4 linked regions of the Saccharomyces cerevisiae S288C genome follow. The protein of the gene in region 3 interacts with the protein of the main gene of each other region in a biochemical or structural test. Each region holds a gene or a part of one and is shown on either strand. Other genes may lie near its edges. The genes, in order: GCD11, SUI2, TIF5 and NIP1.

The links.
Region 1: the proteins of TIF5 (region 3) and GCD11 form a complex in vitro, tested with the Saccharomyces cerevisiae proteins (2 studies listed by BioGRID).
Region 2: the proteins of TIF5 (region 3) and SUI2 form a complex in vitro, tested with the Saccharomyces cerevisiae proteins (3 studies listed by BioGRID).
Region 4: the proteins of TIF5 (region 3) and NIP1 form a complex in vitro, tested with the Saccharomyces cerevisiae proteins (6 studies listed by BioGRID).

The regions. Positions count from the first base shown.
Region 1 is NC_001137.3:203,395-207,342, reverse strand, and holds GCD11 (translation initiation factor eIF2 subunit gamma), read right to left. Parts: upstream 2,093-3,948; coding exon 509-2,092; downstream 1-508. Other genes in the region: carnitine O-acetyltransferase YAT2, read right to left, coding at 2,380-3,948. UniProt on the Saccharomyces cerevisiae protein: As a subunit of eukaryotic initiation factor 2 eIF2, involved in the early steps of protein synthesis.
Region 2 is NC_001142.9:449,377-452,445, reverse strand, and holds SUI2 (translation initiation factor eIF2 subunit alpha), read right to left. Parts: upstream 1,427-3,069; coding exon 512-1,426; downstream 1-511. Other genes in the region: MHO1 (Mho1p), read right to left, coding at 1-16; DNA-directed DNA polymerase delta subunit POL31, read right to left, coding at 1,781-3,069. UniProt on the Saccharomyces cerevisiae protein: eIF-2 functions in the early steps of protein synthesis by forming a ternary complex with GTP and initiator tRNA. This complex binds to a 40S ribosomal subunit, followed by mRNA binding to form a 43S pre-initiation complex.
Region 3 is NC_001148.4:646,847-650,425, forward strand, and holds TIF5 (translation initiation factor eIF5), read left to right. Parts: upstream 1-1,857; coding exon 1,858-3,075; downstream 3,076-3,579. Other genes in the region: ERV2 (flavin-linked sulfhydryl oxidase), read right to left, coding at 1-192; IRC16 (Irc16p), read left to right, coding at 1-349; TIP41 (Tip41p), read left to right, coding at 459-1,529. UniProt on the Saccharomyces cerevisiae protein: Catalyzes the hydrolysis of GTP bound to the 40S ribosomal initiation complex (40S.mRNA.Met-tRNA[F].eIF-2.GTP) with the subsequent joining of a 60S ribosomal subunit resulting in the release of eIF-2 and the guanine nucleotide.
Region 4 is NC_001145.3:892,418-896,932, forward strand, and holds NIP1 (translation initiation factor eIF3 core subunit c), read right to left. Parts: upstream 3,010-4,515; coding exon 571-3,009; downstream 1-570. Other genes in the region: UPA2 (putative methyltransferase), read right to left, coding at 3,299-4,252; PP1-complex regulatory subunit GLC8, read right to left, coding at 4,497-4,515. UniProt on the Saccharomyces cerevisiae protein: Component of the eukaryotic translation initiation factor 3 (eIF-3) complex, which is involved in protein synthesis of a specialized repertoire of mRNAs and, together with other initiation factors, stimulates binding of mRNA and methionyl-tRNAi to the 40S ribosome.

The sequences.
Region 1 (3,948 bases), on a different chromosome or scaffold from region 3:
TAAAACCTTTTCAAGGTTATATATACTCAATAGATACTGAATAATTTTGGAGCTTCATTATCTTTGTGCAATTGTCTCCATGTACAAACCACCGATAAGATTTAGTGTAGAGTATGTTGGGTGTAAAAAAAGAAAGGCAGTTTATTGACTACTGGTGTAACTAGACGATAAAGGTTTGAGAGGTTTTCATGGCATCAATGGGAAATAAATGAGTTCGAGAACTATGAGATAAATATTTGCTTAATATTATCGCGTTTAGTAATTTTTTCTTAAAAATACGTAAAACATGTTAAATATACAGTTGAATACTATGTAAGAAGGAAAAAAAAAGAAAGAAAACGTTATAAAAAGAGAATAAAGATCATCAATGTCATTACGCATCAATGTATATGAGCATATTGCAATAACCAGAAGTGTCAGTTTCCCTTCCTCCTAGCCCGTTTCTTATCTTCACTTTCTTTCAGATTAATTATGAAATTTTTGTCTTTGCAGTGGTTTTATTGGTTCCTTAAGCGATGGGTTCCAATGTAGTACCCTTTTTAATGGTTGCCCAACCAATCAAACGCCAATGCTTTTCGATACGTCTCGACAAAGCAATCTTCTCGTTAATTTCAGTACAAGCGGGCGACGTTAACTGTAATCTTGCCATATCAGCTTTAACGGCAACCACACGAGCCCCCGTAGCGGTAGAACCAATGTTGACCATAAGAACTTCATTTGGCTCTAATTTTCTGACTTTGGCTTGCTTTTGACCATCTGTTTTGACACCTAATAGACGACGTAGCAAAAAGTAGTTGATTTCGATATCAGTATAAATGTTTGGCAAATGACCCTTAGCACCGACGACTTGACCGACAAGACGATCAGCTCTACACAAGGTAGGATCAACTTTAGTACCAACACCAATCAGACCACCGGGAACAGCAAACTTCAAGTCATTTTGTTCGGCAAATAAGGAGACAATGTTAGAAAAGATTGGTTTACATTGAATTTTACCCTTATCATCCTTGGTGACAATACCTGGTCTAATCTCAATTTCATCACCTAATTTGAAAACACCATTCAAAATAGAACCACCGGCAACACCACCTTTCAGGTCCTCGATTTCAGCACCTGGCTTATTAACATCAAATGAACGAATAACAATTAACCTTGGAGAAATCATAAAATCTCTTGGTGGTACGGGAATAGTCTTGACAATAAATTCATTAACTGCGTCGATGTTATACTTCAACTGAGCGGATATTGGTACAATAGGAGCACCGTCAGCAATGGTACCTCTGATGAACTTCAAGATGGATTTTTGGTGTTCTAAGGCACTTTCTTCACGCATTAAATCGACCTTATTCTGTAAGATGATGACGTGCTTTAATTTCATGATTTCAATGGCAGCTAAATGCTCTGAGGTTTGAGGTTGTGGACAAGATTCATTACCTGCAATCAACAGTAACGCAGCATCCATAACAGCAGCACCTGATAACATAGTACTCATTAAGATATCGTGACCGGGACAGTCAACAAAAGAAACGTGACGGACCAATTTGTAACGCCCCGGACAACCTGGTCTTTGACATTTAGGACTGATTTCTTTATCAGATTTGAATGATCTATAACAATCAGGTTCGGGACATGTAGGCTCTTGACATTTATAAATTTTAGCATTAGCGTAACCTAACTTAATAGTAATGTTACGTTCTAATTCATCCTTAAAACGGACTGTTTGGACACCTGAAATAGCCCTAACTACTGTGGATTTACCGTGGGCGACATGACCGATGGTACCGATGTTTATTGTAGCTTGCCTGTTGATAATTTCGGCGGATAGTGGGTTTAATTTTGAAAAATCAGGGTTTAATGGTTGTTCGGGCAAACCACCACCTTCTTCAAATTCCCTTTTCCTTTTTTCTTCTTCAGTTTCCCCGTCTTCTTCCAAGCCAGTGAAGGCGACTTTCTTCTTTGGCTTATCAGCATCTTGTGTTTCTTGTGTTTCTTGAGCTACAACTTCCGTTTCTTCAACGATATCTGGTTCACCAACTGGTTCCAAATTACCGTTGATAATAATGCTAGGTTCTTGGTCTTGTAAGTCACTCATGTCTACCTCTAATGCGCGATGTTAACGGTGTATTACGCTCTTTCCGCCCTCTTTGCTTAGCTCCTGGTACAGGTCGAGATGAAATCTCTGTCTTTTGTACTGATGATCAGCATCGGGCTATTCTATGAAAATTTTTTCAATGGCAAATCTGGTCCGGGTTACTGACATGAGAGCAAATAATAAGCATAAATTAAAGCATATTGATATACTTCATATAACAAGTATATATCACATCACGCCAAGCTTACGCATAATGCTAGTAATAAATAGATAAACAAAGAGCGTTCTTATTGATCTAAGGTCGCCACCTTTCTACCCACACGACTGCGGTCAAAATCAATATCGAATCTTGAGTTGATGACGTTACGTTTCTTGGAATTTAGAGATGTAGCTGAAGATGCCGAAGAGGATGTGCCATCAGCATTGCCAGCAACTATTTCAATATCTGTCTCATCATCTGCTTCCAACCCATTACTTGCCACTTCCCGCGGTTGGATCTGTAAAATTTCATGGCCTGTATTTAATTTTTCCTTTTCTGTGGGAACGGAAACTGCGGAACTTGAATGATCATTGTCTGCGCTCATGGTCAAGCCATTGAAGGTTTTCTGCAAATTCTTCATCGATGGTGTTTTAGATATATTCCTACTGTCAATGTGGCCTTCCAAATCGAAAAACCCGCCATACCTGTTCAAATTTACCTGTGATGAAGAAGATGTTTTGCGGGAGCCATTGACTGTATGGCCGTTACGTTTCGGAGGATTATTGACTGCATTGTCCATTTCATACAATTTATCGACCACTGGACTGATCTTCACGCCAGTTTTATTATGAGAAGTGCCGCGTGACATCCTCCAGTAGGAACGAATTTCGCCTAACACCCAACTTAACATAAACATTAACCTGTCACCCTGTCGAAATTGCGATGTCACGGTCAAATCTACTTGATCATCTTTAATGATGTACCCTATTCCAAAGCCATGAGGTACAGCAGGAGTTATACCAAATGTCGTGGTAGCAGCATTACCACAGTTGGCAACAATCAACTCAGGCTGTGAGAAAGGTAAAACAAGTGGATTTTCGAAAAGATCTTTCGCAGCAGATGATTCATCACCACTTAAGTGGATACCAAAATGGTCATGAAATTTGAAGAGATATTTCAATGCATTGAAGTGTTTTTCATAACCTACCCCAGACTTTGCATGTTTAACCATGTTATTATGTGTTTCGCAGGTTTGGATAAATTTGTCTAATTTATCTGTCCCATCAATGGAGCTAGAAATAAACAATTGACATAGTTCCAACAGCGCTTGACTTTGAATGTTAATAAAAGATGATCTCGAGTTTTTGAAACCACGTGTGGATACTGGTTCTAATCCAAACACCATTCTTCCATACAAAGCATAGTGAGCTATTTGTAAAGCTACTTGAACCATCGAATCGGGCTTGACTCCTAATCTTTGAGCTGACCTTCTGCCCAATGGAATAGAAGCGCGAACAATATCATACTTGGAAATCAGATCAGCTAGTTTGGTTTCTGACAAATGGACATGTGTGTTCAGGATGTTACTGAAAGACCAATCGATTTTATTTACAACCAACTTAGGGTCAATTTCAGAAGGGCCTCCGCCGTCGGCACTTATGGTCGCCGTCATCAGTTTTTTAGTTTCAGGATCCATTTGTGTCACGTTAGGCCAGAGTGAAAACTGTGGGTCACCGGCGTTAACGTCTCTAGCTAATCTCAAGACTGATTCTGTATAAATTTCAGAAGTAAACCGAAGCACGACTGACCCGTCACATGTGAAGGAATCCCAAATCACTGTGGCTTTTGCATCTGCAGTGACAACTAACTGTAATTT
Region 2 (3,069 bases), on a different chromosome or scaffold from region 3:
CTGGACGTATTGACATGTTTGAAAAATTCTATTCTTTGCACTGTAGTCCACCTAAGCCACCGACTAGGACCACTTCACTTAAGTATCAGTCAGACTTTCCTTTGAAAATATATCAGTGTGTATCCGCATGTTATCTGTTTTGTTGAAAATCACATGAGTGGACGGCCCCTTTGTCTTGTCTTAGTGTTCCCCAATGATTTAAATGCAATTCCGAAGGAAAGGGGGGAGCCTCATATTATTACAGCATCACTACCTTTTGAGGTAAAAATATCTCATGTGAAAAAGATAAATTATAGAGAACCGGCAGGGCATGCTCCACTGACAACCCCGTGGTAACAGAAATTAAATTTTGATTATGATTAAATGGATTGTAATATTTATAATAGCCAAATGTACAAGGTGTATATTGCAAAGAATATGATATGGCAGGATATACGTATTTGTTCTATACAAAATTTTCTAAAACAGTATGACACTTGAAAACACCTAGAAAAATTAGGCGCGGCAATGATTACTCGTCGTCTGACTCATCCTCATCGTCTTCAGAGTCAGATCTATTATCTAATTCTTTGCTTTCTAATAGAGCTTGTAACTCAGCGTCTTCAGTAGCAGTGACAGCCTTTGGTGGCATGGTAATGTTGCAAACACCGCCGTATTTTGTAATAACCTCTGTAATTTTTTCAATAGCGCTTTCCAGTTGTTCAATACCTTTTTGCTTATCCAAGGCTTGGGTGGTCAAAACATATAATGGGGCGGCGACTAATTTAACTTTAACTTGCATTTGTTCTGTGGACATGTCTTCAGCTGATTTTAATGCGTCTTTAATGGCATCGATACCTTCGTAACTAAAACAAGACACTTCAACATCGGCTCTAATCTTTACAGCTTGTGGTGTTAATCTCTTGGAGATATAGTTCTTTAATTCATCTAAAACATCTTTTGATGGCGGTTCAATACCTTCCCAAACAGTTTCGTCAATGATGGATAGTTTGAAAGCTTCGTAAGCGTGACCAAATTTTCGACTTAATGGCCAAGCAATGGTCTTATATAGTTCTTCCAAAGGGATTTGGAATTTTTCGGCACAGTATCTTAAAATGGAATGAACAGTCTTAGATTTTTGGTATTTTTCTTCACATTTAATGATATCTTCAGAAGAAACACGACGTTTGGACAAATCAATATAACCTTTTTCTTTGTCGACACGAAGAACAACGGCGACATCATTTTTACCAACACGAATTAATTTTTGGATTGACCTAATACGTCTACGGGACAATTCACTTAGTAGAATCATACCTTCAATGTTGTCATATTCTAACAATTTAACATAAGCACCCATTTCAGCAATCTGCTGGACGTTAACCATGACGATATCGTCAATTTCTGGGTATTTGTTTTCATAAAATCTGCAATGAGAAGTGGACATTATTTGGTGTATTATAGAAGGTGCGTGAGGCAGCAGAAAAGACACAAAAATATGAAGACAAAAACTGATTAGTAAACAGATTGCACTTTACTCTTTAATGACCTAGGAAATAAACAATGGTTGAAAATTTGTAAATGCGATTTTATACTACTATTTCATCAGATTTGTGCTTTCTCTTCTTCTCTTTTTCGCCTCTTCGAAGAAAAAATTTTTCTCCGACTGCGGGTAAGAAAAAACGCTCATAGTTTTTCTACCAGCTGTGACAAGAAACGTATTTTGAGCTGAACGATGAATGCTCACTTTTACATATAAAACTTAATTGCATATCTATGTGGAAATTATTCCTTGTTTTATTTAAATGTCAATCTTGACCGTCTCTGCTTCTAACGTTTCCAAATCCAGTAATATTATCATCCCAGTAGAACTGAATTCAGGGACAGATATTATCTTTATGTTCTTACCACCTATTTCCACTACTCTTGTTCCAAAATATGGCTGGTTTGCCACAATGTAAACGTGGGGCCACTTATCCAATACAAATGGATCCTTATCAGTGTACGGATAACACCATAAGGTATCAGGTGCGGTGGGCGCGATGTTTTGCCATTTCATTGTACATTCCATAAGGTCCAGGCGATGCTCTATATCGTCTTTGAAATCATTACTCTCGCCCTCCTCGACCTTGTTTTCACTTTCTCCGTTATCATTTGATGGTATTACGTATTTACAAATATCATTGATATTTTTGCCTGAAACGGCTAGAACGTCTACGCCATTATAGCTAAACTCATATGGGTTGGTCACTAAATTCAAAATTTCTTTGTTAGAACCGTTGAAGTATGATTCTAGGGACTTATCAAACAATGATTTGTGGAAAGGCTGTTGCGGTAGAGATTTGTCACTTGGATCATTGGTTCCGGGCATAATATCAACAGATATAGATGGCAAAATGTTGTGTAGAAATTTACTGAACTCAGTTAGAGAAATCATCAATTCGTCTTTGTTCACGCTTTTAATGTCGAAGTCAACAGAGTTGCCGCATATCAGTAATCTACCAATTAGAGAAATGTCGTCAATTTTGTTATTGATTCTCCCCATCAAAAATTCTCTCAAAATCTCCAATCTCAATAGCCTATCAGGTGATGTATTATTGAGGTTTAACCCAGAAACAAGAGCAATTTTTCCCCTGGTGGGGCAGGTAGCAATTGGTGCAGGGAAAGGATTTTGTGGTAAAGGAGTGGGGTAGCATATGTCTAAAACTTGAAATGTCCCGGCTTCAGCTTCCATACCCAGTATACCTACAACAACACCCGTGATGAAGGGTGTAGACCGAATAAAATCTCCCACTAGAAGCACTCTCCCACTTTCATCTTCGAGCATAATTTCATCAGAACCACCCTCTTTATCAGTATAACTTTTAGTTAAATCTGGTGCACCATATGTATCATTGATCACTTCGTCCAGTACGTTTGGTTTATATTTCATCTCGCAATATATGGATCCTACGCACCAACATGGTTGGTTTCCCTGAATATCTAACACTTTGTCCTTTTTTAGAACTAATTGGCCATTCAAGGTAAAGCCCGCATCCCATCTCTTGTCACATTCTTTTAAGACGCGTTCTCTGAAAGTCTTTAGACGGT
Region 3 (3,579 bases):
CTCGATCTCTTTCAACCGAGCGTCGTTCTTCTCAGCAGCCGCCCCTTGCACTTCATCTATACCAGACTTCGCCTTGATTAGGCCCGGCGTAGCGATGGATAGTTCATTAGACGAGAAAAACATCCACAGGCCTATGATTCCTAATGCTGCAACTATTCTGATGGCATGGCTTCTTTTGACTATCTGTTTCATCCCTTCGTTCCTTGCACAATCTGTCCAGACTTTCCTCTTTACAAATCACCAGCCTTCCCGTCTTCTTGTCTTCATCACCCACGTTTATTGTTTAATGATAAAGCCTTTTGTCCTTTATTTTTGGTTCCTTTTCCCGCTTCGTTTACCCGGTGGTTAACCTTTCTCTTCCATCTTGTAATATATAATAACAAAATGCATCACCATACTTACGCACCCCATATACATGACCTAAGGGCAGCTTTAGACACAACAGCTCCCCAGAAAAAATGTCCAAAAGAAACACTCCACCGCTCAGATCATCAGGGATAAACACTATTCAAATAAATGCTGCTAGAGAAATGCACGCTCAAACGGTGCGCGCTCGAAGAATGCCCATGCCAACTAGCGGCATCACTACACCCTCTGTGCAACCAACTGCAGCCCCAGCAACACCACCTCGACATATTTGCAATAACCCAAACAATCCGCAGTGTCTCCACTGTGGGTCTGTTATCATTCCATCTCCAAGGGCCACGTTACCCTTGGAGGACAACCCCTCCATCTCCATCAACGACTGGACCATCTCCTCCAGAAAGAAGCCCATTTTGAACTCGCAGGAATTAGACATCTGGGAAAACGAAAAACTCAAAGGTTTGACTTTGCCAGAGATGATTTTTGGTAACAACTACATCAGGATCGAAAATTCAAAACAGCATTGGTCCATAGAGTTCAATGCCCTGGATGCTTTAAAGGAGGTTCAACTCCAGGATTCAGGTATTCGTGTTGCGTACTCAAACGACTGGATAAATTCTAAAAAAAGACAAAATTCAACTAATGGTGCGCAACGGTTCACTAACGATGTGAACGACGATTCCTTAAATATCATACACAAGTACGACTGGACCTACACTACGCGGTATAAGGGCACAGAGAGCTCACCTGAGTCGAAATTCCGACTGGATAACGATCAAAAGCTGCCCCTTGACAAACTGGCCGTACACGATAAAATCCTATTCTATGACGACATGATTCTTTTCGAAGACGAATTGGCAGACAATGGCATATCAATCCTTAACGTCAAAATAAGAGTTATGAACGAAAGGTTACTGCTGCTGAGCCGGTTCTTTTTAAGGGTGGACGATGTTCTGGTGAGGGTCTACGACACCAGGATTTACGTGGAGTTTGACGAAAACGTAGTGATCAGAGAATCCAAGGAATTTGAAGGTAAATATCAGGATGTACTTGCTAAGCACCGGCTATCCCAATCTCACGACCCAAAAGCTGCCTTGAGAGATAGTAATTGGGTAGCACAGAACACGCCGATGATCAAAAGACAATGTGAAATAATTCAGTTCTAACAATCAAATATACAAAACAATACGTACAAATACATACACGTCACATATACATAAGCTCCGGATACATCATACAAGAAATGATCTTAAAATCATGCTCTTACCCGTTCTGTAAATAGTGAAAAATTTTCATCGCGAAGTATGAACGAAAAAAAAAAAAGAAAATAGATGAACTTTTAGCATTTAATTAGTGGCAAACGCCTACCCCTCCTTCCCACTTTGCTGACTTACAAAGACACCACTACATTAAAGAGTATCTCGTGTGTTCTTCTTTTTTTTCCAAAAAAAAAAACTCCTATTATTTGCATAAACACACGTTCACTGGTACAAGATGTCTATTAATATTTGTAGAGATAATCATGATCCATTTTACCGTTACAAAATGCCTCCCATCCAAGCCAAGGTGGAAGGTAGAGGTAACGGTATCAAGACTGCCGTTTTGAACGTCGCTGACATCTCTCACGCGCTAAATAGACCTGCTCCATATATTGTCAAGTATTTTGGTTTCGAATTAGGTGCTCAAACTTCCATCTCTGTTGACAAAGATCGTTATTTAGTTAATGGTGTTCACGAACCTGCCAAATTGCAAGACGTATTGGATGGCTTTATTAACAAGTTTGTTCTCTGTGGAAGCTGTAAAAATCCAGAAACGGAGATCATCATTACCAAAGATAATGATTTGGTTCGAGACTGTAAAGCCTGTGGTAAGAGAACTCCAATGGACTTGAGACATAAACTATCATCCTTCATTTTGAAAAACCCACCTGACTCCGTTTCTGGTTCCAAGAAGAAGAAGAAAGCAGCTACCGCTTCGGCCAATGTTCGTGGTGGTGGGTTGTCCATTAGTGATATTGCTCAAGGTAAGTCTCAGAATGCACCTTCAGATGGCACCGGCTCATCCACTCCACAACATCATGACGAAGACGAAGATGAATTATCTCGTCAAATCAAGGCGGCTGCCTCTACCTTAGAAGATATCGAGGTCAAAGATGACGAATGGGCGGTTGATATGTCTGAAGAAGCCATTAGAGCTCGTGCCAAGGAACTAGAAGTGAACTCTGAGCTCACTCAACTGGATGAATATGGTGAATGGATTTTGGAGCAGGCTGGTGAAGATAAGGAGAACTTACCATCAGATGTGGAGCTTTATAAGAAGGCTGCAGAACTAGACGTCTTGAATGATCCAAAAATTGGTTGTGTCTTGGCGCAATGTCTATTCGATGAGGATATCGTAAACGAAATCGCTGAACATAATGCATTTTTCACTAAAATTTTAGTCACTCCAGAATACGAAAAGAACTTTATGGGTGGTATTGAAAGATTTTTAGGTTTAGAACATAAGGATCTAATCCCACTATTACCAAAAATTTTGGTACAACTATACAATAATGATATCATCTCGGAAGAAGAAATCATGAGATTTGGTACCAAATCATCCAAGAAATTTGTACCTAAGGAGGTATCCAAAAAGGTTCGTAGGGCTGCTAAGCCATTCATTACGTGGTTAGAAACCGCTGAAAGTGACGATGATGAAGAAGACGACGAATAGCTTAGGAGGGGGCAAAAGACTTATGTGTAAATTATTATATGACATGGCGTAAGATAAGGATTATGTTCTGTTGTTTTTGAGCTCGTTGATGTATAGATATGTAAATATTTATAAATATAATATTTCTTCCAAGTGCGACATACTTGGTACTGGCAAAAAACAAAGATGAGACTTTTAAAGCCACTGATTGATTGATTAATTATTAAGTAAAAAAAAAAAAATAAAATGTCGGTGTAATTTGGCTCCACGATCGCATGCGTATACATAACATGAGATTACCGAAGATTTTTCTGAAAGGTAATGCATTATATTATAATCATTAATAGAAGTAGAGCCTAAAGCCTGTTGAAAACTTGTACAATAGAGGAAAAAAAAAGGGTCATTAATCGTCATGTTTACCTAAGAGCGTCTAAACTTTTTGGTATTCTTCTGGGGTAAACGTAAAAACATTGCACCAAGGGCAAAATTGAAAAAAAAAAAAGTTTAATAGAACAGAATGATTAA
Region 4 (4,515 bases), on a different chromosome or scaffold from region 3:
GTATTCCCATTTTTTTAGTGAATTTCATTTTTCTTTTTTTCCTGGGTAGAAAATGAAAAATTTTTCAGTTTCTGCAAAGAATTGATATCGTGCGTCATGATGATAATACCGATTTACTGCAGTTCGTACAATTTATTTTTTTTTTTAGAATGTCAAACAGATAGTCCATGATAGGCTATTGGATTATTTATCAACACTCATGATCCATATATTTTGAGATTATATTTGATGAAGAAATAAAGCGGCATATCATACTTTTCTTAAAGTTTAATAGTTTGTATTATATTATAAAGAGTGTTTACGTAACAAAAAAAACTATATATATATTTGCTTATGTGTAATGTACAGTGAAGACGATTAGATTCAAACCCTAAAACTAAAAATAAAGAGATCGCTAAAAGAATCGAAAAAAAAAAAGATGAGCAATATCAAGAATAAAAAGCAAAAGTGAATATGGTTTATACTCTCCTGCTTAGTTTCCTTCTATATTTTTTGGTTGCTGATGTTATTCTTCTATCTACAATGATTTTTTGTTAAGAATGCTTTCGAAGTAGTTTTTGATTTTATTGATCAACGACGATTTGATGGTGGGTTAAGACGTTCTTTAGCGATTTTATATTCTTTGTTCAATTTTACCATTGCTTCTTCCAATTTAGTAATTTCATCACCCTTTTCGACAACAAAGATGGTCTTCTCGTCGTTTAATTTGGCTGGGATTTCCAATTCTGCGATAACAGATTGCAAAACTTCAACCACCTTATTTTCTGGAAGATCAAATAATTCGGCTAGTTTAGCAACAGAAAAACTTGAATAGAACCTCTTGAAAGAAAAGAAATAAGTCTTCAAAGATTCAACTTGTACTCTTTCCGTTAAACTATTCAACACCGTTTCCATGTTTGGTAATAAAGCCCAAGATTTTATTTCTCTTAAGTATTTAACAGAGTCTCTCCAGTTACCTTTTTGCATTGATTTGGCAGCAAACAAGACATAATCTCTTAAAGTTTCTGGTGGACCTTGGAAACTTAACTTGTCGTAATGTTCTAAGGAACGACGAATGGATTTTGGAGAGTAAGGAATTCTCTTGACCTTAATACCGGAATAGAAGGCAGTCATTCTTGGAATTTCGATCAATAAGGAACATGTTAAGAAGACGACATCGATTAAATCGAGATTGATGTGTTGGTGATATGGCAAACATTGTCTAGCACGCTCATCAGCTGAAGCATTGTTACTAGAATTGAGAGATATTCTGTGTAGGGATTGTTGGCCCAAAATTTCTCTTAAGTGAGAACTTGACAGAAGATCATTCAAAATTTGATGACATTCTTCAATCAAACATAATTTAAAGGCGGATAGACCCAATTGAACAACAACCCTGTTGAATAAAATTTGTAGGGATGAATCGAATTGGTTGATATTTGTTTGAACTTGGGAAGTTAGTAACATATCTTTAGCAGTTTGGAAATCTTTGTTTAATGCAGTGTAGTAAATGTTGTATAAAATAGCACGTTTTTGAACAGCAATGTTGTTTTGCTTGGATAAGATTGTCGATAATCCGTCTATTAAATTGTCGACATAATCAGCAGAATCGAGCTGGTCTTTTGAAGTAAATTTAGATTTGAATTGAGCAGGTATGATATTCCAAGCAGCAGTTTCCATAATTTTTATCAAATTTTCGGATTTATAGTAGATATGATCCAATCTCTTGACGAATGGACGTGTCAATGCTCTTTCTAGGTCGTGTTCATCTTTCAAAGTCGCTTCAAAGTACAATTGAGTTCTTAGGATCAAATTATAGATTGATTGTTCATCCCTTAAACGGATCAAATAATCACTGGAATGAGGATCGATGTTTAACAGGGATTTCATGAATTCGTCATCTAATCTTTCAACAAATGAGAAAATGGAACCCAGAATCCTCTTGACACCATCAGAATCTTCTTTAGGTTCATCTTCAATGAAATCGATTGGATCAGCAAATTCATTAACTTGGTAGGTGTCAATTGTCTGGTCTAAAATAGACAATAATTTACTAATATCGTTGAATGAAGATTTCCATTGATCAATTGGTTGGTAAGATAGGTTAGCTGAGGCATCGAATCTTGATGGAATCAAAGTCAAATAAGCCATTATGAATTCATATGGTTTTTCAGCTACAGTTAATAACTCCTCCAAAGTAGAAATCAAGGATTGTTGATTGACAGTCTTCTTACCTCTTGAGTCAATTATTGTTTGTAATCTAGTGAAGAAATCTTCTTGTACCGCTTGGTCATTGCCTTGAGACGAAGAAATTGTGAATCCATTAGCAGAAATATCCAAATCTGCGGTTGGTTCCTTATCAAATGATTCAGGATCATTTCTGAATTTAGCCATTGAGTCTTCATTTTCTCTAGAAACTTTCTTGACTCTTTGCTTTGTAGTGTTATAAGCTCTTGCAACAGCTTTATTCTTCAAATCAGCTTGTTGTGTATTATTCACAGCGTCCTCCACTTGGGCAACAACCTTGATGAAAATATTTGGAGTCCCCCAGTTTTGTTGTTGAGCCCTAACTAAGAGACGCGAGATCAAATCAAACTCATTAGAAATAGTCAACCAGTCATCAGAGTTCTCAGCTTGAGAGATCTTATTATAAACGTCTTGCATTTCATCCAATAGTTTTTCTTTGGCAGACTTGACTACCTTCTTGCCATCTTCTTCATCGGATTCTTCATCACTGGAATCATAGTTAGAGCTTTTCAAAAATTTATTTGAACCTCCACCTTGTTTTCTGAACTCAGATTTCTTGAACCAGTCAGGACCATAAGGCTTTGCATCAGAATCATCAGAGTCTACATCAGCTTCACTTTCACTTTCACTTTCATTGAAAAAGGAGTCGTCAGATTCTTGGTCCAATTCAGACTCAGAGGAGGAAGAGCTTAACAAATCTTCTTCAGACGAAGATAAAAGATCTTCTTCGGATGAAGAACTGGCTACATCGTATTCGTAATTAGACGAAAAGAAACGGGACATTTTCGTAGATCTCGGGCTTGGCAGGCTATTGTGTGAAGATTGCAAATATGTGCCTTGTTCTCCTTTTTTTCCTTCTATGCTACTCTACTAACAAGTGCAACTGCGAACCTGTAGCTAATTTTTCATTCCTTTCAAAGCTCTTTTTCTCATTGAAAAATTTTTCAACGGCGAAAAAAATGCGAAAAAAAAAGCTTGGTCGTTTCCAACGAGTAGAGGAAAGTGACAGTAATAATAATGATTGCGTCTCTAATATATACGTACTTATCCATTGCATGAAGGTAATTTGGGATTAAAATACAGTTGAAAGAGTTGTCAGTGTCATGGGGATTGCATCTGCAACGTCCGAATTGGATACGGGGCATGGTAGCTGAGCATCAAAGAACTCTTGAGGACCTTGACAATCTACGAATTGATCTTGATCCAGTTTGAATGCTCGAGCAAGAGTGTCCCACGTTGAGAATACCAATAAGATGTGGGGATTAGTTTCGGCGGTAGGCAGTGATGATAACTCGGGAATAGAGGTGTCTCTCGTGGTTAAGGGAACATATACTGATTGTGTATAACCCTCTTTTAAAGGCCCCTTCATAAACAAGTCTGTGAACGATGACGCTATACGAGTATAGTAGCCATACTGCGAGTCCAATCCGGTGAAATCACCGTAAGCTTCCTGAGGAGATACAATTTTCCTCGTTATTGTGTCGATGGTGACCCTTGCGTTTATCGGCACCAGCTGACTTTGTAGAGCCAGTGCTTTGCTTTTCCCTATATTAATATATTTGGTTTGCTTGAATACCTTACCAATCTTTTTGCGAGCCAAGGTGGGTTTCTGCATCTTGATAGTGAGGCCTTCTCTGTACCGACCGTGATCTTGCTTTTGGTACCTGGTGAAAGGAAGTGTGGATAATCTTGGTAATTTTGAAGCGGCGGTCAAATAAGGTCTGAATTTTTCGTTGAAGACAGTATTGCGAAGATATGGAGGCGTGACGAAGTATTGTAAAAGTGCCAGTATTAATTTAGCAGTGGAGATTTTTTTTTTGGTGGCATCGACCTGGGAATTGTCCTCAAGAATGACAACCTCAGAAACATTAAACAGCGATGCAAACTTGGCCACTTGGTACACCTTATGCGTGATTTGAGAGAGGTTGCGACAGTCCGATACCAATGTCGTGGGGATACAGAGTGAATAATGTCTGGTTTGTGATAGAGGTTTCTCAACCTTTTTGAACTTCCTCGTGCTGCTCATCAAACTAAGTGATACACAGCTTTGTGGTCAGTAGTATATATTCCTGGGACCGGTAGTAGTTGTGAAACAGAGTACTCTCACTTGCCGATCACAGCTCATCGATGGGAAATTTTTCATGTATAAAATAAAGCTTGTTAAAAAATCAGTTCGTTTCGCGTGATAACAAACAGTGCATATTTATGTACCAAGAATCCAAAAAATAAGATATATTTAGTATAGGTAAACGTTATGGAGGTGTCATGTTTCATGGTTCTTTTGTCGTA